Linked DNA regions of Arabidopsis thaliana. The protein of the gene in region 1 interacts with the protein of each later gene in a biochemical or structural test. Each region holds a gene or a part of one and is shown in the gene's direction. Other genes may lie near its edges.

The links.
Region 2: the proteins of DWA2 (region 1) and DWA1 form a complex in vitro, tested with the Arabidopsis thaliana proteins (one study listed by BioGRID).

What each region holds. Positions count from the first base shown.
Region 1 is NC_003070.9:28,605,767-28,616,621, forward strand, and holds DWA2 (DWD (DDB1-binding WD40 protein) hypersensitive to ABA 2), read left to right. Parts: upstream 1-4,426; 5' UTR 4,427-4,596; coding exon 4,597-4,641; intron 4,642-4,720; coding exon 4,721-4,804; intron 4,805-4,874; coding exon 4,875-5,007; intron 5,008-5,155; coding exon 5,156-5,267; intron 5,268-5,403; coding exon 5,404-5,503; intron 5,504-5,618; coding exon 5,619-5,746; intron 5,747-5,912; coding exon 5,913-5,982; intron 5,983-6,240; coding exon 6,241-6,329; intron 6,330-6,468; coding exon 6,469-6,514; intron 6,515-6,686; coding exon 6,687-6,757; intron 6,758-6,836; coding exon 6,837-6,910; intron 6,911-6,992; coding exon 6,993-7,051; intron 7,052-7,190; coding exon 7,191-7,232; 3' UTR 7,233-7,497; downstream 7,498-10,855. Other genes in the region: AT1G76250 (uncharacterized protein), read right to left, coding at 795-1,568, 2,646-3,176; AT1G76270 (O-fucosyltransferase family protein), read right to left, coding at 7,788-8,244, 8,371-8,702, 8,801-8,903, 9,253-9,434, 9,734-9,917, 9,999-10,087, 10,192-10,268, 10,399-10,489 and 1 more. UniProt on the Arabidopsis thaliana protein: Component of the CUL4-RBX1-DDB1-DWA1/DWA2 E3 ubiquitin-protein ligase complex that acts as a negative regulator in abscisic acid (ABA) signaling. May function as the substrate recognition module within this complex leading to ABI5 degradation.
Region 2 is NC_003071.7:8,410,261-8,420,959, forward strand, and holds DWA1 (DWD (DDB1-binding WD40 protein) hypersensitive to ABA 1), read left to right. Parts: upstream 1-4,785; 5' UTR 4,786-4,956; coding exon 4,957-5,282; intron 5,283-5,369; coding exon 5,370-5,446; intron 5,447-5,527; coding exon 5,528-5,573; intron 5,574-5,700; coding exon 5,701-5,761; intron 5,762-5,849; coding exon 5,850-5,903; intron 5,904-5,993; coding exon 5,994-6,074; intron 6,075-6,165; coding exon 6,166-6,205; intron 6,206-6,477; coding exon 6,478-6,578; intron 6,579-6,750; coding exon 6,751-6,861; intron 6,862-7,117; coding exon 7,118-7,234; intron 7,235-7,390; coding exon 7,391-7,480; 3' UTR 7,481-7,734; downstream 7,735-10,699. Other genes in the region: AT2G19420 (uncharacterized protein), read left to right, coding at 1,441-1,459, 1,962-2,072, 3,319-3,623; AT2G19440 (O-Glycosyl hydrolases family 17 protein), read right to left, coding at 7,904-8,517, 8,585-9,084, 9,224-9,546. UniProt on the Arabidopsis thaliana protein: Acts as a component of the THO subcomplex of the TREX complex which is thought to couple mRNA transcription, processing and nuclear export.

The sequences.
Region 1 (10,855 bases):
GTTCTGTTCGTTGTGTATTCATCATGGTTTAGCATGTTTCTCTACATGTATTGATGATGACTGAATTTAATTTTGATATTTTAGATATACTTTGTTTTCATTAAAGGGATAATGTTTATTGTCGTTTAAGTTTTTTTTTGTTCTTTCACACAAACTATAATTCTATGTCATTACTCAACTGAAAACTGAAAGTTTTGTGAAAAATCTATATTGAAATATAACACTGAAGTGGTATGAGATTAGATAATTCGAAACAAAACATTTGTCGAAAATAAAAGACAGCCAGCCATGTATAATATATATCCGCATCTTTCCTCGCGTGATGTGACGAGATTCCAATTCATCTGCCAAATGTTAGATAACTTAGTTATGTATACATATCAATGTATACACATATCAATGTCTTCCAAATCCATAGGAAAAGTTTCCAGTAGTAAAACTTAAAATCGTTTGTTCCTTAAGAGTGTATCACTTTGTGGGTGCATGTAAGGATGCGTAAAAGATGTATAAAATCTGCACTAGTGGAAAAAATCGAATCCTGTAACAGATTCAAAATTAGGAACAGATTTGCTTCTTTCACGTGGTAAATCTATATTTTGGTTTTTTTTTTTTTTTCTCAGAAAAGGAAGATCTTGGCTCAGCTCAAATCTCAATGTGCAATTATATATATCTAGTTTGCATTTGATCAAATGTAACCTGATATATATATTTCAAACCAAACTAAAAGGCAAAAAACTAAAACAGATTGGGAAAATTTGTTAGCGAATTAAATTGGACCTAAAGCCCGATATGTTCTAATTGGGCCGTAAGCCCAAAGTACAAATCTGTTCGGAGGCGGGAGCTTCCCATTTAACGGCCATTCCTCTCATATTTTCAAACTCTTCCACACATCTCCTCGAATCCAAACCACCGACTCGTTTCCTCGCAAGTGCGAGTTTTTCTCCAGCGGTTTCGTCAAAAATCTTCTCCCAACCTTTCTCCCATTCTCCATGTGCGTCGCACAGCTCCACCGTCTCGTTTTCCCACTCTGTCCAGCTCCACTCTTTATTCAGCTTTCCCATCACTTCTGCCACGCAAGAGCCGTTGCATGCGACCGTGCAAGGACGGCACTTGGCACCGTTTAACGGTCCACGGCTCGATAGTGCCGCCACTGGAACTCCGTATCTATATGGAGGGAAATCGTAGGTCCGATCAGTCATGATGCAGAAAGGGAGAGGTTTGGTGACGTAAGGAACACGTTGGGTTGTGAGCTGAGCCTTGAAAGCGGACTCGGAGTTCAGATGAGTTAACCCGGCTGAATCGAGGTCGGGAATGAGGGAGAGGCGAGAGAGAGCTACCGTCGAGGTGTTGAGATCTCCGACGCCGAAACGGTCGTTGAGACCACCATAAGAGGATCCAGGTGGAACTAGGTATTGACCCGGTATGAAGTATTCCGGGTCGAGCGGGTCAGCCCAGTAACCATCAACTCGGGTCCGGACTATCCAGTCGTATGTGAAGTTATTCTCGTTTTGGTATGCCTTTATCATCGTGATGCAACCTTCCACAAGGTTGAAGTACTGTAATAAGCCCTGTCATTGAGACCAATAAGAAAACACACATGAGAAAATAATGGATTAACAAAATAATAATAATAATATAACAGAAACAAATTACTCGATGTTAAAATGCTAGTTTTACTAGACTACTTATATTATCATGTTAAAATCACTTTTTCAAACATGAAATGTCAAAATGTTCTAAAATGTTATGAATAATATCAACTCAATAAACGTAAATTGATACTCAACAAAAGTTTATACCAATGTATATATATATTTATAATACTTAATGCCATACTGCGCATTAACCATTTACTTGATAAAAAATACACGAAAAAGCTTACGGATTCACATCATCACCACGCCACACATTAGCATCATCATGCCACGCATTAGCCATTTCGTAAAATTATTACCATAAATTAAAAAAATACAAGAAAAAACAGAATACCTTTTTCCATACAAACAATATACTATGTGAATTTACAAGCTGTCAGATTAATCAAGATCTTCTTTATCAGGAAACGTGGGTCCGGATAAGGTAAGGGGTCAATTTCAGTCTCGGACTAGTCGGCTACAAAATCTTGCGAGTTGCTAAACAATAGAAATTTCAAAGATAATCATAACTTCAATCTCAACCTAACAGTCTCATACTATTAACTATAGAACCCGAATCGAGAAAGAGGCAATAACTCATAGTATTAACAAATATAGTCAACAATTAATTGCTATCACACCCATATCTTAGAGACATCCGTTAATACCTTTAGAAGCGTCATTTTTGACCGCAATTTTGTTATAAAGTAACGAGGAAATAAAAAAGAATATCATATTGGATGGGATTGTGACAACATCAAATACCAAACCCATCATCAAACAAAAAATCCCTTCACATGAGTAACGTACGGATCAAGAAACGGTTACACCAACCCTAAACCTCTCCAACTAAACGGAGGTCCCCGCTCCTGATCACTTTCTTATCCTTAATTATATATTCCCGAATTTTATGCACTTAAAAATTTAATGTAATACTCCAACATTTAATTAATTGAAAGTTAGTGAAAAGAATTTATAAGGTAAGGAAGTTCAAAAGAGTCGATAAATTACCTTAATGCCATTGGGCGAATTCATAGGTGTGAGGACTCGAACCATCGGCTCAGTCTCATTGATTGGCTTAGGCTCAAAGATACGAACCCAAGCAAGTCTTGGTGCGTCCTTAAGTAACCGAAGTTTGAAAGAATTTTTGTCGAGAGGACTATTAAGAAACAAATCAGCATTAGGATAAACCCTCAAGATCTTCTCCATAATCGACGGTCCGGTTAACTCAAACCGCCTCGCTCCTCCTACCAAACACACCGCAATCTTCGACTTAACCAACTCCTCCCTCTTCCTCCGCCGTCGATTTTCCATCTCCTCCGCTTGGATAACGTCGTTAGGGTTCGAATCTGACAATTCGACGGTGAAATCGGTGACGGTTAGGGTATGAGTGTAGATTAGGTTACGAAGAGGGGCTAGAGTTGGAAAAGGATCAAGTGAGAGAGATGAGAAAGAGATTAAGACGAGGAGGGTGAGAGATGGGATTATGAGAAGGAGGAGAAGACGACGATCGACGTCGGAGATTCTCCTGGAAACGTACATAACGGCGGCGTAAGTGATCGTAACCCTAATCTGTGAGAATAACCACCACCGTGGATTGTTCACACACGTTTCATTTGCCGAGAGAGAGATTTTTGTATTTATAGAGTTTTGATTTTCTTCAAAACTTTTGAAGTGATTCGGAGAGGCGCTGGTTTGTTGGAGTGGAAGGTGAAATCAACATTACGCGTGGGTTTGGTTTTCGTTTTCTCTTTTCTTCTAGAGAGAGATATGAAATATCTATGTAGCTCTGTATAAAACCGATGCATAATTAATTAAAATATACGTATTTGATTACGTTTTCAAAAAGGAAATGATCAATGTTACTTTTGTTTTTTTCACGTTTCTTTGTTTGCTTAGTAAATAATTTATGAATGTTTGAAATACTTTGGTGAATAGTTTTAGTGCTCGATCGTTACAGTAATCAATTCGAATAAACTCTTCACTAAATATGCTCGTTACAGTCTTCACGTTTATTGTAACTGTTAGACCCCCACTCATTGTGTATTAGGGGATGTTGACAAGTATATTGAAGAGATTGATATCTTGAAAGGCGTACGTGGACTAGTAAAGAAATGGATAGTTTGGGTTGCAAGAAAAGTTTTACTTTTTGTATTCAACAAAAGGAAAAGAAAAGTATTTTTTGTTATCCAAGATATGACTTTATGTAGTATATTCATTTGAGAGCATTGTATTAATTAGAATGTTCACATATATCAATATATAATTATATATAGAATTTGCTCTTCAATTGTAAAGAAGAAATGAGGTTCCAAATTTGTTATTAGTGCTCTAAACATATATTTTTATTACCTTAGAAATTAATATATAATATTTCTTTCTTTGCTTTCCCATGACTTTTTACTGTTTTTGGTAACAAGATAATACTTTCCCTAGTATATAAGATTTTTAAAGCTTTTTTGTTGTTGTTCCCAATTAGTTTTTCTCTAGTTTCTAGTCATAATTTATATTAATTCCATAGTTTATGATTATTTAAATTATGCAGTATTTTTTATTGGTTAAATTTTTATTAATGATAAAACATGTGATTTTAGCCAAAACATCTAATAAAATGGGACATATGGAGTACTACAATAGTGATAGATCTTTTATTTACCTGTTTATTATATATGAATCTATTCAATTTTCATTTATTTACATGTTTATTTAAATTATTTATTTAATTTGCATCTAAAATTTGCAAAACTATTGTTGGGCCATGAGTGTCAACTGTCAAATGTCAACCATAGAAGCAAAAATAAAACAGTTTATGATTCAGTTTGTAAAAGTGGGCTTATTTAAATGAATATTGGCCCATTAGTATCATCTTCACGAAACCCAGCAAAATCAGAGAGCGGCAAATCGTTGAAGAGAGATCTTCTTCTTCCTGAATCCGTAACGTTAGCTCAGGCGTAAGAGCATAATGCAAGGAGGATCATCGGGTATTGGTTATGGTTTGAAGTATCAGGTAGTTCACGATCTTCTTCATGCCCGATCCTTTGTCAATTTACGAGCTTTCTTAATGGTGGAAAATTTGCTGTTTTCAGGCCAGATGTATATCGGATGTTAAAGCAGATAGAGATCACACTAGCTTCCTCACTGGAACCCTAAGCTTGAAAGAAGAAAATGAGGTGATTGATTCTTAAGATCTGTTTCGTTCTATTTCTGGATCGGAAGATTCTGACTTTGTTAAATTTTAAGGTTCATTTGCTTCGTTTGTCTTCTGGTGGATCTGAGCTGTTATGTGAGGGATTGTTCTCGCATCCTAATGAAATTTGGGACCTTGCTTCTTCCCCTTTTGATCAACGCATTTTCTCTACTGTCTTCTCCACTGGTAATTCTCATCATCTCGAAACTTCTAATTTTGAGTTGATTTGAAGTAAAAAAAATCGGACTTTTCCGATTGAATGCATAAAGTTTCAGAAATTGAAACTACAGTGTTGTCAGAGGAGAATTACAGTGTTGTTGTTTTCAATTTCAAGGCGACTCATATGGAGCAGCAATATGGCAGATTCCTGAGCCATATGGTCAATCGAATTCTTCAACATTGGAATGTGTTGCTTCCCTTGATGCACATGTTGGTAAGATTAATTGGTGAGTTCATTGTTTACAGTTTCAGCAGTCTATCTACTGGGTGTGCTTATAAGTGCGGTGGTTTAAAAAGTCTTAGAACTTGTAACTTTCTTATCTTCACTTTCATGAAGACTCTCTATACCTCTTGTGGAAACAGCGTTCTTTGGTGTCCCTCTGGAAATTCTGACAAGTTAATCAGCATGGATGAACAAAATCTTGTCTTCTGGAGTTTAGACTCTTCAAAGAAAAGTGCGGAGGTGATTGTTGCTACAACAAGAGAAAGGATAAACCCATTAAATCATTTTTGCCTCCTGTGTTTTTAGACCACCTTTGAGGTACTTTCCGCTTAATCATCTTTTTTGCTAATTATAGGTTTTATCTAAGGAGTCAGCTGGTATGCGTCATTCTTTATCTGGTGGAGCATGGAATCCACATGATGTGAATTCTGTTGCAGCAACTTCTGAATCATCTATCCAGTTTTGGGACTTACGTACTATGAAGTATGTCATATTTGTTCCTCTCTTATGTTCGCATGAAAGTTAATATACTGTATTCCTGCATGCACAGCTAGCGTGTTTCCTCTAGTCAATAGTTTGTCATTATTAATTTTTGGGTTCCAAAATCAGATACCTTTATGTTGAGCTTGATATGTTTGCATATTTACAGGAAGAATAATTCAATTGAACGTGCCCATGTACGTAATGTTGACTACAATCTCAAGAGAGAACATATACTCGTAAGATTTCTCTCTCTGTATGCAAATATTTTAAATGCTTGTCAAGCAATTCCAACAAAGAATTACACAGTGCTCCAAAGTTAGAAAACAATCTGTTATATAGATTGCAAATGGGTAGGAACAAGGAAGTAATTGTGTCATTTCTGATTTAATTTTTTCTTCATAGCAAGAACTTTTTATCTGAAAGGTAGTAGGTCCCCTATTTACAGAAATGGTATCAGATGGTTCTATTTATGCATTGGACTGTCGATTGTGTAGGTTTCTGCGGATGATGAATCTGGTATACATCTCTGGGATCTTCGGAAGACAAAGTTTCCTGTGCAAGAGCTCCCTGGTCATACACACTGGTAATTTACCTCTAAACTCATTTTTGTGGATTATTATTTTTTCTCTTCCATGATTCTGCTTCATATGCACACAAATCTAATGCTTTCGACCTGAAATTTTGTTTCTAGCGTGACTGTTCTTTCTGAATTTTCTTTACAGGACATGGGCTGTCAGGTGTAACCCTGAGTATGAAGAGCTAATTCTGGTACCCATTTTCTCTTACCTTTTTTCTCTTAGCACAGTCGAACGAATCTAAATTGTTATTGTGCTTGTCACTACTGACAGCTTTAAGCTGCTAGTCGATGATTCTAGAACAATTTCTGTCACTCACAATGTATATTTAAAGTGTCAGTTTCTGATAAATTAACCAAACACAGAGCGTTGGAACAGACTCAGCTGTCAACTTGTGGTTTGCTTCAGCATCTAGTGAGCATAAAACATCAGAAAGGTTAATTCTCTTTATTATCGCACACAACAATTTTTCCAACTTTGTTTTGAACTTTTATTCTAATGCCGATGCTGTGCAGCCCGGTGGAAGCATCACGTCAGCGTGTGAACCCGTTACTAAACTCTTATACTGACTACGAAGACAGTGTCTACGGTAACTCTTGGAACAAACTGAGTTTAGTTACCACAATTTCCCACTAAAACTGCATGAAGTCACTATATAATTGCTGTCACAGGCCTTGCTTGGAGCTCGCGTGAGCCTTGGATTTTTGCATCATTGTCATATGACGGTAGGGTAAGTGACTTTGCTTTTGACAACAACCTAAAGAACTATGGAGAACTAAGAAATAGACGATTTATTACCCCAAACAATTCTAAATTCTGAAAGCAGTTTGGAGAGTTCATCTCATAATTTTGGTGTTTGCTTATGTTAGGTTGTGATCGAATCCGTCAAGCCTTTCCTGCCAAGAAGATAGGTCCCGATGGAAGAAGGCTTCAAAGAAAAAGCTGCATTCATATGCTATCATTTAAGACAAATTTTGAATGTTTTTATAATAATCACAACATCAAAACTATTCTTCTACAGTTCTTCAACTTTTACTCGTGTCTTTGTTCATCTCTATCTCTCAGCACAAGGCACAAAGATGTAAAACCAAACCTCGTGAAAATACTTTGGTACAAAGTCAATGAACCTGCTGCTATAATTCAGTTTATTGTAAAGAAAATATTCGGATCAAGTAATCACCGGTGTCATAATGCTACACATGCCTACTTGTTTTCCCTTTTTCTATAGCTACTTTCTCTGGTAAAGCCACAATTCCGAGTACTAAAATATGACTGAAAAAAATTGATCTGTCCTCAGATCCTGATAAACAAAACAATGCTCTATCGCGTGGTTCTATGTACAGGAGACATTACATGCAAAATGGTGACAACAAGGCTTAGCACCAAGGTTGGAAAACTCACTGTGAAGTGCCCAAGCAGAGGACAGATTCAGTGTAGTGATGTGAAGGTCACTGATGCGTATCTAACTAATCTGATAGCATTGCTTCAAGCTCAGGCTCATCAGAGGTAGATGGATCATCGTAATCTAAACTTGTCCCGTTGTATAATCCTCTGTCCTGAAGATCACTCTGTTCTTCCTCATAGTCTGGCTCCGACCAATCTGGGTCATCCTCTTCGGTTTGATCATCATTGGTTACAGTTACTGCTGCGTCTTTATTAGTGGATTTGTTTTTCTTTCCAAGTTTTCTAGATTCTAATTGCGCCTTTGCCTTAGCCTCTGTATCTTCGCATATGCACGTGGATGGGTTTTCGTGAAATTCACCTCTACCAGCTCTTACTTCCTTTGGCTCTCCCATGAACCCTCTCTGAAACGAACGGACTTTAGATGAAAACTCCTCCCATGTCGTGTTCTCTTTGTTCATGAATAATCTGTAAAGCTTTTTTGCATTCGGCCTAACAGTGGGTTTATGTCCTAAGTATCTCCTGCAAATTTCATATAACCAAAAGCTTAAACCTTTGCAATTCCATCAAAGAAACAAACTGAAAAATGCTTAAACAAAGAGATGAGCCAAAAAAACATAGAAGAAGAAGAAGAAGATGTTTCAGTACCTCCTCCCAGCCAATATTTTTGCCATATTGCCATTGTTGTTGGTTACAAATACGTCGCTTTCATCACAAACAAGGAAGTCGAGTGCAGCCATTCTAGAAGAGTACGAAGAAAAAGGTTCTAACTCTTCCTTTGTAGCTATAGTGTCTTTTGAATAGAAGTGTGGAAAGAGTGCTTTCAAAGGAGCCAATGATTCTTCTCCTCCATATACTTCACCAGACGCGACATATATATGAACATCACTGCCATATCCCAAAGCTCTAAGCATCAGTCCGACTTCTTCTGGAGTGAGTGGACATCTTCCTTGTCGCCTCTGTTTCTCTGGGTTGTTAATCTGCAATAAAATTGCAAAATTAGTCATCGGTACCTTGTTAATATAGAGTACAATGAATCGCATGTAATTTCTGAAACATTATACAGAATAGGCATTACATGTAATGTTTTCCATCTCCTTCTAATTGCTGCAAGTTCTCTCCTTTCCTTATCACCACCACCATAATAGCATCCCGAGAATGCAAGCATATCAGGTTCATACCTGCAACACAATCAATATCACTTGCGTCAAACACTAGTATTTATAGAGATTCAAGAGGTAAATGTAAAATATCATAATTGTTGACTAGAATATCAAAAATGTGATGGAGTCACTAGAGGAACTCCAGGATAAACATATTTATGTATTTGATTCCACTCGTTTCACGATGCAATCTCCTCTATTAGATATGAGTACTGAGGTTTACCAAAAAGAAAAAGCTAAGAGCATTCACTACAGGATGGTTCAGCTGTGCTACATGTTAATTCTCCCCAGAATAATGCCCTTGTTCAGTGACGAAGTGAAAAAAATAAAAGAAATACTAGGATTTAGAGATGAGCGGTGGTGCTACCTTAAATGTAAAGCAATGAAGTGTTTGCTCCTCAATCTCATGCGCCGGACCAATTCATTACCCATTGTAAGTATAGGATCAGTGAACTTTAGAGCATGGTAATTTACTCTACATCTTAGCTTTTGCAAGTCATCACTCAACTTGTTTGAAAGTCTATAGTCAAATTTGTTCAGTTGAACTGCCTGAAGCATAATACAGACAAAAGTGATATAAGAATAAATCGAGATGCTTAATCCAAAAGACAACCACTGCTTCAAGTTCATGTTTCGAAGCAAACATCAATATTGTAGCAATCAACGAAATGGGCATGCCAAAAAAAAGAATAGTACCAAAGACTTGTGAAAACAATTAAATGGTTAGACTTGTGAAGACAATTATTTGGACCACCCTAAGCAAATAGTCAATACAGACAACAAACAATTTGCTTAGACATATTTTAAATGCAATAAGTAAAAAGTTTCAGCGAAAGAAGGAAACTTACATGCCTTTTGAGAAGAACAGGTAAAACACGGTTAATATAGCATCTCTCGTTACATTTCCGTGGTACACGCATTCTACTTGTACTCCATGTACGCCCTCCTTTCAGTGGAAGTTGCTTTATAATTCTGACGTCTCCAGACAGAAATGAGATAAACCAATCAACATCGAAAATATGCGAGAAGTCACTGCACAAAAATTCACAAAGTTACAAAGATGCATAACGTTTCTCATAAGAAAAAGCTAAGTATGCTTAATCTGTCTCAGACCTGGCATCCTTCCAGTAAGACTTCTGGTCTAACTTGGGAACAACAAGAGTAGCATTTAGAATCCTTGCCGCAACAACTGCATCTACAATCTGTAGAAGGATTAGACCCATCAGCTGATTAATAGTAAACAAATGCTTGTATTTTGATAATCCATGAAGATAGGTATTAACAAGAGAAGTCAAACAAAACTCACTCCAGTTCGTTGTTGGTTCAAACCACCACTAGTGGCTATTACCAAGTATCGATCATTTCTCGTCACTGCTTTCGAATCTGCAAACAAGTAATCGGATTTTGTATGACTTGATAATCAGTGCCTTGATTCCATACTAATCGAAAGTTTCATACTTTTCGTAAGATCAGTGTTACTAACTAATGGAATATGATTAAGAGTGTTACGCACTTGCGAATTTGCTGCTTGCATTGCTGCATCCAAAAAAGAATTCAGCATTTCGTGAACGCCAGATATCACGATCTGATCTGCCTCCAGCTCTCTGTTATGGATCCAACTAAATCATCAAATAGGTCGGAAAAGTTTCAAACTTTAGCGAAGAATGATAAAACCCACTAACCGGAATATGGAAACCTGTAGCTTTGATCGCATCATTGGATGAGTAGCGAACGCGTGGAGGAAGGCGATCGGAATCTCCAGGAGGCGGAGCAAGGAAAGAGAGAAAAGCGAAGAGAATGAGGAGAGATAGAGAGACGGCGATAACGAGAGGAAGGAGACGACGGAGACGGTTGTAGTAAGGGTAGCGCCGCCGATGGAAATTCATGGCGGCCGCCGTGCAACTACCTCGCTGCTCGGAGATATAGAGAGATTGAGAGAGAGAATGAAAGTTTGGATTTTTGGAATCAAA
Region 2 (10,699 bases), on another chromosome or scaffold:
TTTCTATCAGAAGATGACATAATTTAGTTTTTTCTTCTGTGCAAACAATGACATAACAAAAAACAAATGACATTACTTAGTTACGGTACTAGATTAATCTTGAAGTGGTATGTGGTCGCAACAATCTGAATCTTTTAGTAAAAGGCATGAGATTGTTGTGGCCTTGTGAGATAAGTCACATTTTGTTCCGGTTAAAATATGAAATTATTCAGTATTTTTTGTCGCAGACCAACCTATATATTAAAATTCTTTATAATTTTTTTTTAATACATTGTCTTGAATTTCCACGATTTCTTGCACATAATAGTTGTTTAGGATTTGATCATCTGATACGGTAACGTACAGATCCAAATTTCCGATCAAACCGGTTTGATTTGGCTGAGTAATGATGTTTGCAATTGTTTTCTAATATGTAACCAAAAGTTGACCAAAACAGTCTAAATGATTTTTCATTAATTTTTTGCTCAGCACAAATGAGGATATACCCGAATAATTAAGAATTATATATAAAAAAAAAACACTAATAATGCACTGATCGTTTACGAGAACGACATAATTAAACTAATTAAAGATCTTAACGATTGTCGACTCTCCAATGTTCTTATACACACACAAATATAAATATGATTAGTCCAATCTATATAGTCGAACAGTAATTTACAGCAGACTTAGATCGATCTTTCGTATAGAAGAAAGAGACGTTACCAATGACATTACTGAAATAACTTCTTTTTTTTTTTTAACTACATAGAATTATTAACACATTCTAATACAGCATACATTAATACATATATACTCTCACTACGTGTAAATGATAGAAGACGATCAATATTGGCTAGAGGTCCATCTTTGGTTAATTGTTCCATATATGTAGATCTAAGCTATATATACATAATACTTTCGGAATTTTTTTGTATTTCTTAAAACATTAAATATGCAAATGTAAACGGAAACAAATCAAACAAAACTTTTAATTTGATGTCAAGAAAACGATATCATATTTTTTTATTTTAGCCCAAGCTGTTTTTGGGTGTTTATTAGTATACAATTTATATTTAATTGGAGCGAAGCCTACATATAGAAAGTTTAGAGCATCATGTAGACGTCATGTGAATTCTAGGTCCAAAATTATGTACACACTACATAAAATATCATAACATCAAACGAAAAACACATATACCACACACGAAAAAAGGGAAAAAAGAAAAGAAATAACCACCATCACTTAGTTTCTGATTCTGGACAAGTAGTTCATGAATCATCTAATATATTAGTCATTATTGATTTCTTAAAGATTTATTGATCAATTCATACATATATTTCTATTTCTAGCCAAATATATAATAGAGCTAGATTTTTATTTTTTTTGTTCATAAAAAGAAAACAGCTTTAATTGATAACAGTTGTTCATTGTTATTTTTGCTACTTAGACGATGGATCATGCATGAAAAGGTACCAAGTAATTCAAACAGTACTGTTATTGGTAGATTTTAGATATATGCATAAATGTGGGGGACAAAAAAAATATAGATACATAAATATAATGGAAATGGTAAAAGAACAAAAATAGATAAAACATAGATAAAGGGAGAAAGAAAAGTACTTTTTTACTTAAGAATATATTTCTGTCCACAACAAGATTTGCTAGGACGAAAAATCAGTAACTATTTCTCAATTCTTCTATGTAGCTCTTTAAAATACTAAAGGTCATCCGATGACCGGCATCAAACCCTTATCCGCAACTTGATACGCACGCTTTGTTCCTTTGCGATCATGCGTGAAATCTTCTCATTCTCATGATGATAAACCTTCCTTATGTCTTGCTCCTTAATTTTTTTCTTTGTTAAAGTGCCTTGCTCCTCTTTGTAACTCAAAGCTCATCATTTGTACAAAAATTAGATCATTTTGTAGCCTTTATTATGTTATATATATTGATGTGATTAGTGTTTGTAATTTGATAGAAAAAACGTACGACTCTGAGCTTTACAACGGCTATTTGGCAATTTACAACGGATATGGCGACTTACGCTATTTTACTGTAAAGATTGAAAATGATATTTGTGTGTCGTTAGGTAAAACATTAGTGAAAACAAAAGGTGGATAGACAAGATATGGTCATATCTATCTAACCATACACAGAGACGTTTGCTGCCATGCATGCATGATGCATATATATATATATATGTGGATATAAAATATATTTAATTTATATACACATAGTCCATAGATAGATAGATAAATAGACGTAGAGAGGGAGAGAGCAGGAGACAAGAAGAGAGTAAGCACGCAGAGCTTTCGAGCATGAGCATGCTAGAAAAAGAGCCATGTGTGCTCACTCTCTTCTGTCGCCTTCGTTATTGCTATTCCCTTACCTCCTTTAGTTGACTTGCTTCATCTTCTTGCATGCATATGATTTTGATGTTATATTAGCCTCGGTCCCTAAAATTACTATATGATATGATGATATGATATGAAACAGTTTGTCTGATTTTAGGGTCTATATATAAGGATTGCTAGGGTCTATATATGATGATGCATGCATAGATTTCATCATCATCATCCACTGACCACTAGCTACGTTTAATTTATAGAAAGATTCCGCCGGATTAAACTCTTATTTCCTGTCAATTTGAGCAACAAGATTCTCTCTTTTCAATTATATATACATAACACATGTCTATAATATACGTACAAACCAATAAAATTGGACTCTTAACAAAATTTTGAGAGTGAGAGATCCCACTTAAAACGAAATAAACTATTTGTTTGGTCATTGCATGCGTAAACGACCACTTGAACAATTAAGTATACATAACATAGGTCTAGATCTATGTGAAAGATTCCCAAACTTAAGATCTCTAGCTAGAACATTCATTGATCCTCCAATCAAAAACCAAAGGAATAAAAAGTAATCTTTGTAAGGGCGAATGTAAAACCGAAACGTAAGCTAGAGGAATTGATATTAAAATGGAAGTAAAAGCGAATATTACTAAAGGTTTTGGAGTTAATTAAATAAAGACAAAAGATGCAAGGACAACGAATTATGAACATCTTCGAAATACGTTTTTAATATTGTTTTGGCATTTGATTTGATTTGATTCTCCTTCCACATTCCCTTGTTCATATGTGTTTGTGTCTCACGCAAGCACTACATAAGCGGTCCCCCTAAATACGTTTCTAGAAACGTCAACGTTTATTCAATCATACCAAAATTTACATGTGTATTCATCAATCAGCCGACCATAAACTACATGGTCCATTAGTCATTACCTATACTGCAATTTTTCTAGCTTTTAACAGCCATTATGTACTTCACAGTTTGGAATACTGGTATGACGAAGAAAAGTCGAGGTAAAAAACGTATTAGAATAAATGTTTATCGTCCAAAGATCGCACCAGCAAAGAATAAGAAACCTAAACCAACAAAGGAACAATTAATGGACCCTGAATTTTCTGATGAAGACGTACTTACCAGCTTGGGTTTTGATGATGGCGGTTACATAATACCACTACCGAAAAAATCTCTCATGTTGATTAATCTACCAGATTCTTTTCGAGATGAGTTGCAAACGATGCATGTCAGTTTTTATCTCCGAGAAGTTGGCAAACTTATGTTTGGGTGAGGACAAATATGCTCTAGTGAATAGTACTAAGAAGTTGATGCTTACAGATGGTCTAGGACGGCTTCATTTGTTTTGGATGAATTCAATTTTTTTTCCGAATCAGTATTTGCGAATGAGATTTATGTAGCCCTAGATGTGAGATTTATGAAAGCTGGAAGTGCCAAAAAGAAAGGTGGAGATTTTAATTGTAACAAAAACGCACAGAGTCTTCTTTATGATTTTTTCTTGGTAGATATAGATGAGGAGATATATGGGTCAAAATTTGAAGAGACGGAAGACCAAAAGAAGTGGAACAAAAAATTTTGAATTGATTTGTCTTCATCATATTGTGCTATTAACATTAAACACGAAATAGAGCATCTGAATCTTGAATTCTATGGAATCTCTAAAACGAATAGACAGATCTCCGCGGAGGAAGTGAAATTCTCTACTCATACTGCATTCAAAATTAATTGAGTTTTTCAATTACATTGGAGGTTTATCCTTTGATACTTTCGGTTTGGTGATTTGAATGAAATGTTGGTTTTGACAGAAAAATGAATAACACTTGCATTAAAATCATCAAAAATTGAATAACACTAGAATCTAAGGAGGTGTATTCGATCTTATATTTTAAGTTATTTGAGTTTTTATATAATTTTGATTTTTTAAAGAATTTGGATGAATTTAAGGAGGTTGTTATGATTTATGGTAAAATCCTCTCAAATTCCACCTAAAACCATGAGATTTAAAATTATATATTTTTAACTAAGAAAATCCACTTAAGTCTCTTAAAGTCACTAAAATCCAATCTTTAAAATGTTTTCAATAACAGAAGATTTTTAAGGAGATTTTAAAATCAGTAATTCAATAGCATTAGATTTCATGATACTTTTAAAAATTCATAATTGAATAACATAGGATATGTTAGTTTGAATAAGATATCCTAGGTGTTAATTTACTATTTTTAAAAAGGTAAGATTTTTTTTCATGTTTTTAAAAAATGTGAGAGTTTTTTTACCTATTTTTCTATTAAAATGAAATGTATAAAATTAAAATTTTGTTTTTAAATAAAATTACTAAATTAAATATTACAAAATATGTATATATTACTATTTAGAATTCAAATATTATCGATACAAAATTAAATTTATTTCTTCAATTCGTCTATTTAAGCAAGCTAGTAATTTGATCGACAAAAAAAAAACAAGCTAGTAAAATATAATTAACAGAATTACTAAATCGGCCGGTTTAGGGATTGCTTTCTCTCAGTCGTCAATTGCACTAAACCACTGGTGGTAATATCGCTGGCGTTTCGCAAGTATCACCGGGAATTGCAAAGAAGCAGAGGACCATGTACGGAGACGCTACAAACTGGAATGAAGATGAGTATAGAGAATCAATTTTGAAGGAGCGAGAGATAGAGACACGCACCGTCTTCAGAACCGCCTGGGCTCCTCCGGCGAGAATCTCTAATCCAGACGCATTTGTTGTAGCCTCCAGCGATGGAACTTTAGCTTTCCATTCACTGAACTCGCTTGTGTCTCAATCGGCGAGTTTTGGCTACTCGAAAGGTCAAGATGTTATGGTGGCTGAACCTGAGAGAGTGGTTAGGGCACACGAAGGTCCTGCTTATGATGTTAAGTTCTATGGTGAAGACGAAGATGCTTTGCTACTTAGGTAGAGACTTAAATCTCTCTTTGTTGATTGATGAGTCTTTGATGAATTGTAATTGAGAGTTTGAAATTTTGATCTGGTTATGTGTAGTTGTGGTGATGATGGTAGAGTTAGGGGATGGAAATGGAGAGAATTTGCTGAATCAGATGTGTCTCTTCATTTGAAAGGTGTGTGTGTGCCATTTTTGTGGTTTTTGATATGAATGATGCTTTTTGGAGCTTAGTGGTTGTTTTTCTTATGATCTACAGAGAATCATCTGAAGCCATTGCTTGAACTGATTAATCCACAACACAAGTGAGTATGAGTTTTGTTCATTTTTTATTCTACTTGATAACTCTGTTACTGAAAATGCTATAATTGTGGGTTCAAATGTCAGTGTTCGTAATAGTTGTGTGTATAATCACCATTCTTTTTCTTATAGAGGTCCTTGGGGTGCGCTTTCACCGATGCCTGAGATCAATGCCATGTCTGTTGATCCTCAGGTTGGAATTGTATTTAAATTTCATTGCTTGGTTAGACAGTCTCACAGGATAACTGTTTCACCCTCTCTCACTTCTTTCGTTTTGATAGTCAGGAAGTGTATTTACAGCAGCTGGTGATTCTTGCGCATATTGTTGGGACGTGGTATGTATTTGACCATGATAGATGTATGTCCTATGTGAATCCAGATATCTTAACTTTCTAAAATCATTTATGTGTATCCAACAATTTCAGGAGAGTGGTAAGATTAAAATGACCTTTAAAGGTCATTCAGACTATTTGCATACTGTAGTTTCTCGTAGTTCTGCAAGTCAGGTAATGATGTTACCATAAATATTAGAAATGCACCTATCCAAATCTGAGTTCCACATTTGGATTTTTGTCTGATTGTAGTCTCTTTCTCCAGATATTGACGGGTTCAGAGGATGGGACTGCGAGAATCTGGGGTAACATGCTCCCGACCATATTTCTTTATGCTGTAATTTCTAGTATTAGGTCATACGTGGTTATAGAACTTTTGAAATCATTTGAGTCTTCATGTTGGTACTTAAGATCCAATGCTCCTCAGTTTTGTTGGCTGCTTCTTACAACTCTATGATGATTCATTTTGGTGATTACAGAACTTTCCACTATGTTATGTTTTGGTTCATGTGGTTTACTTTAGTTGTCTAGACTAAGCTTTGTTCGCTCAAGGGCTTCTTTCTGTTTTGTCAACCAGATTGCAAAACGGGAAAATGTGTTAAAGTAATTGGTTCCCAGGATAAAAAGTCCCGCCTTCGCGTTAGTTCTATGGCCCTTGATGGGAGTGAAAGCTGGTTGGTAAGAACTAAGCAACTAGATAATCTAACATTTTCGCAACCTGCTATTTGTTTGAAGGGATTGTTGCCTCCAGTAACCTAAGAATATAGTTCCTTTCTCCTGAAGAATCACTTAGAAGTTTAAATACTGAACATGTATTTACTGTTATTGGTATGATTTTCTCCTCTTTCAGGTTTGTGGACAGGGCAAAAATTTAGCTTTATGGAATCTTCCCGCCTCAGAATGCGTACAAACAATACCCATCCCTGCACATGTACAGGATGTGATGTTTGATGAAAAGCAAGTAAGCAGAACAAGATTAGATTGAAATTTAAGCAGTGTAATTTAAAGCCTTGGGAGGCCGTGGGTGTTATTTGTTTATCAAGGCTTAATAGGTTTATGTAGTATCTCTTTGAATCATCCCTCTTCAACGAAGTTTATTAAAAAAATTACTGACTTTTCTAAACTAGAAACAGAGGTCAACACCTAGTTTTAATTCCTGTGCTAAAGTTTAAACATCTTTTTAAAAATGTTGTCTTTAACAAGTATCGCACTATCAGATTTTGACTGTAGGAGCAGAACCACTTCTAAGACGTTTCGACTTAAATGGAGCTTTGCTTTCTCAAATTCACTGTGCTCCTTGTTCAGTATTTTCCATTTCCTTGCATCCAGCAGGAGTATGTTTCCAATCCCTTCTTTTCTCCCCATTTCCTATATATGTGTTTGCTTTTCTCCCATTTCCTATGTTACTGCTAATATTCTGCAAATATGTTACCCCTTCTGGACTAGAAACTCAATGTTTAACCGTTGATCCAATTCTTTTGTATTTGCAGGTAGTTGCTGTGGGAGGTTATGGAGGTATTGTTGATGTCATCTCTCAATTTGGAAGCCATCTCTGCACATTTCGTAGCAGTTCATTGTAAAACTCCTTACAGTTTCTTGATTTGGCTCGATACCCTAAAGAGGTACCGAAATGTGTCAGTCAGATTATTGCAGAGGTTAAGAAACCTTTTCTTTGTTTTTCTTAGGATCTTGCTCCTGACTAAAGACCAATTAGTTGTTTGGTTAAGTGTAATTGGTTTGTGGTTCCGTAGTTGCTATCAAATTTGAACCATTAAAATGACATTGGACCGGTTTAGTCTGATCACGTACATTAACTGCCGTTAGAGTTTCAATTTTTTGCGAGTCCTGTTTTCTTATGACCACCATTGATCAAATATTTGGATCCATAACTAAATGATTCTCACTCTTCCAAGTAAAATTTTACCATATTATGCAATTTAATACATGGACAAAACATATAGTTTCCATATCCACAAAAATAAGTCCTCAAAAACATCACTAATCTAAACCTCAAACATCACTCCTGATAAGAGAAACCAAACTCCAGCGATCAACAAAACCAAAGAAGAAGAAAATGAAGAAGCTGTGGAAGCAACAATCTGAATAGGGAAATTGCATTGTCCCTGAGATATATTCTTTGTGGTAATGGTGGCCAAACCTTGGAAGATACAAGCATCCTCATCCTGGTTCTTTACTTGAAAATACATGTTAAACGCATATGAAGCGTTCCCATTTGCATCAAGAGTATTGCAAGAAGACCCGTAACCAAGCGCAGTGCAATCCGAAAAAGTGCAGGCGTAATCTATGTTAGCAGCGAGTTTTGTCAAATCTTTGGCTTCTGTATTAAACATACACCACTTCTTAGGTTGATACGTCACGTTCTCGGCACCAATCAACAACTTGTTCTGTCCTTGACCTGATAGATCTATAGGAAACTTTGGTTGCCCGTCGAATTTGAATATTCCCCAGTGGCGTTCAAACTCTCCCGGTGCTATACTTTTCGCATCCTCATCAAGTAATCCAAACAAGTATACCTCAATGTAGGTTGGTCTCAGTGGAGTGCCTCTGTTTTCCCCAAGCCTTGGTAAAAGACCGTTGTAGAATCTGTAAGCACTGCCTGCGAAAAATACGTTTTCAAAACATTTCATTGCATCTAAAGAACTGGAAAATGTTAGATGTCTTACCACTATTTGCGTGTTTGTCACCCTCTGTTGGCCAACCGACTTCTCCAACGATGATTGGCATATCTCCATGACCAACAGCTTTCAAAGCCGATACCAAAGTGTCGAAATTGGCATCGAAAACGTTTGTGTAAGCAATACCATTGTCATCTACTGGTTTAGCACCATCAAAGAAGGCGTAATTGAGTGGAAAATCATCATTCCCATAGAGGCTTAAGAAAGGGTAGATGTTAATGGTGATGGGTGCACTGTTATTGCCAAGAAAGTCAACAATCTGAGTCATTTGACCGATGATATCAGGACGGAATCTTCCTGCAGATGGCACAGGGTTGCTTGATGGTGAATCGTAGACATCCGCGTTTAAAGGGACTGTCGCTTTGACGGAGCTTCCTAGTCCAGCTTCATTCAAAGCGTTTTGGATGTTTTGAAGTGCAGGGAATGTGAGGTTTATAAATGATCCATTGTATGATTTGAGGAATGGCTCATTTCCAACAGCTACAAACCTGAAAACACATCCACAAGAGATTAGACATATAAACATTTTGACAATGTTCTTACCAGATTAACATTTTCAGAGAATTGATTTCACAACCGAACACATTAGAACCAATATATAACAAGCAGAGGGAGAAACTCACTAACGTGATATTGACACCACCATTGAAGTTATAACGAGTGACATTCTTATGAACCCAATCTTTAGCTCGGTCATAACTTCCCATAACCTTAAGCTGATCATTAGGAATAGCAACCATAACTTCAAGACCAGAGCCAGAAAGTGCACTCATAGTGGTCTCATCCGCATCAAAAAGCTTAACTTTGTTAATGTTATTGTCCTTAAGCATTTGAACCACTTTCTTTGGTGGAAGCTTATGTGTAGCCATTGTTCCCCAGTTGACACCTAGCCCATCTACCATAACAATACCCATGATTCCAAATCCAACGACGAAGGCCAACAGATTCATCGTCCTGAGAAACAATGAAATGGCTTACCAGGTGTTTTCACCCAAATTCAAACCCTTAACTTGAACACTCGTAAAATCTCACTTAAACCCCAGAAATTGAAGATATTTACATTTTCCTAAATGGAGGTCAATCAAAACATCATAAAGTTCAAAGCTTTTCACGCAAAATCTACGAGATAACCAAAAATAAAGCCAAAGATACGATTTTTAACAAAAAAAAATGAGAATGGGGACTAGACCTTTCCACTGAGAGTAACAATCGTCAAGCAAAAAGATTGATTCTTTTTTCTCTCTTTAACTTTTCCGGAAAAAAAGTTTTAAGCTTTGATCTTTCTCTGATTGAGCTTGACGGTGAATAATATGCTTTGTGATTGGTTCTTGGAACTTGGAAGTATTTGGTAAAAGCCCAAATTAAAAGTTTTAAGTAAACATTGCACTTTTAGAATTTTATTGTATTGTTTTTATGGTCAGTAAATAATGACCCAATGTGTTTTATGTTTGACAAATGTTTTAGAGTGGTTATTGGTAGATGAATTTTTCTAATTTTCAGATTTTATTGTCAATAATTCATGGATTCTTTTAAAGTTTTAGTAAAATACATTGTTATTGGGTTGTAAGCTTTTAAATTCTATTCAAAAAAAAAATTATTCAAATAGTTTAGTTATTATAAATTCTCTAATTCTAACAAATATATCTTAATATTAAGATATGAAATTCTATGTTTTTACTCATGAAGCACAACTTTCTTAATCTATATATACATTTTTGGAGGGGATTTTTGAAGATAATGTTGAAGATTTGAACCATAATTCAACAATTAATTCAAATGGGTGGGTTTTACCCGGTTTAACTCTGTTCGGATCCTGGATAACATGTTTAATTCTGTTCTGATCTTGGATAACATTAATTTTTGGAAAAGTTACCTAAAACCTAATAATTAAAAACGAAAATTAATGATTTACTTACCAAATTTAATATAAACAATATCTCTAAACTAACCATATTTTTTATTTACCTTAACTAATTTCCTAAAATATTTCTACCTAATTTAAACATAAATATATAAATCTTCTTTCATTTTTATTTGATCTTATACTTTATTTATTTTGAATTTATATAAAATATATATAGTTAATAAAATATTATATTTTTC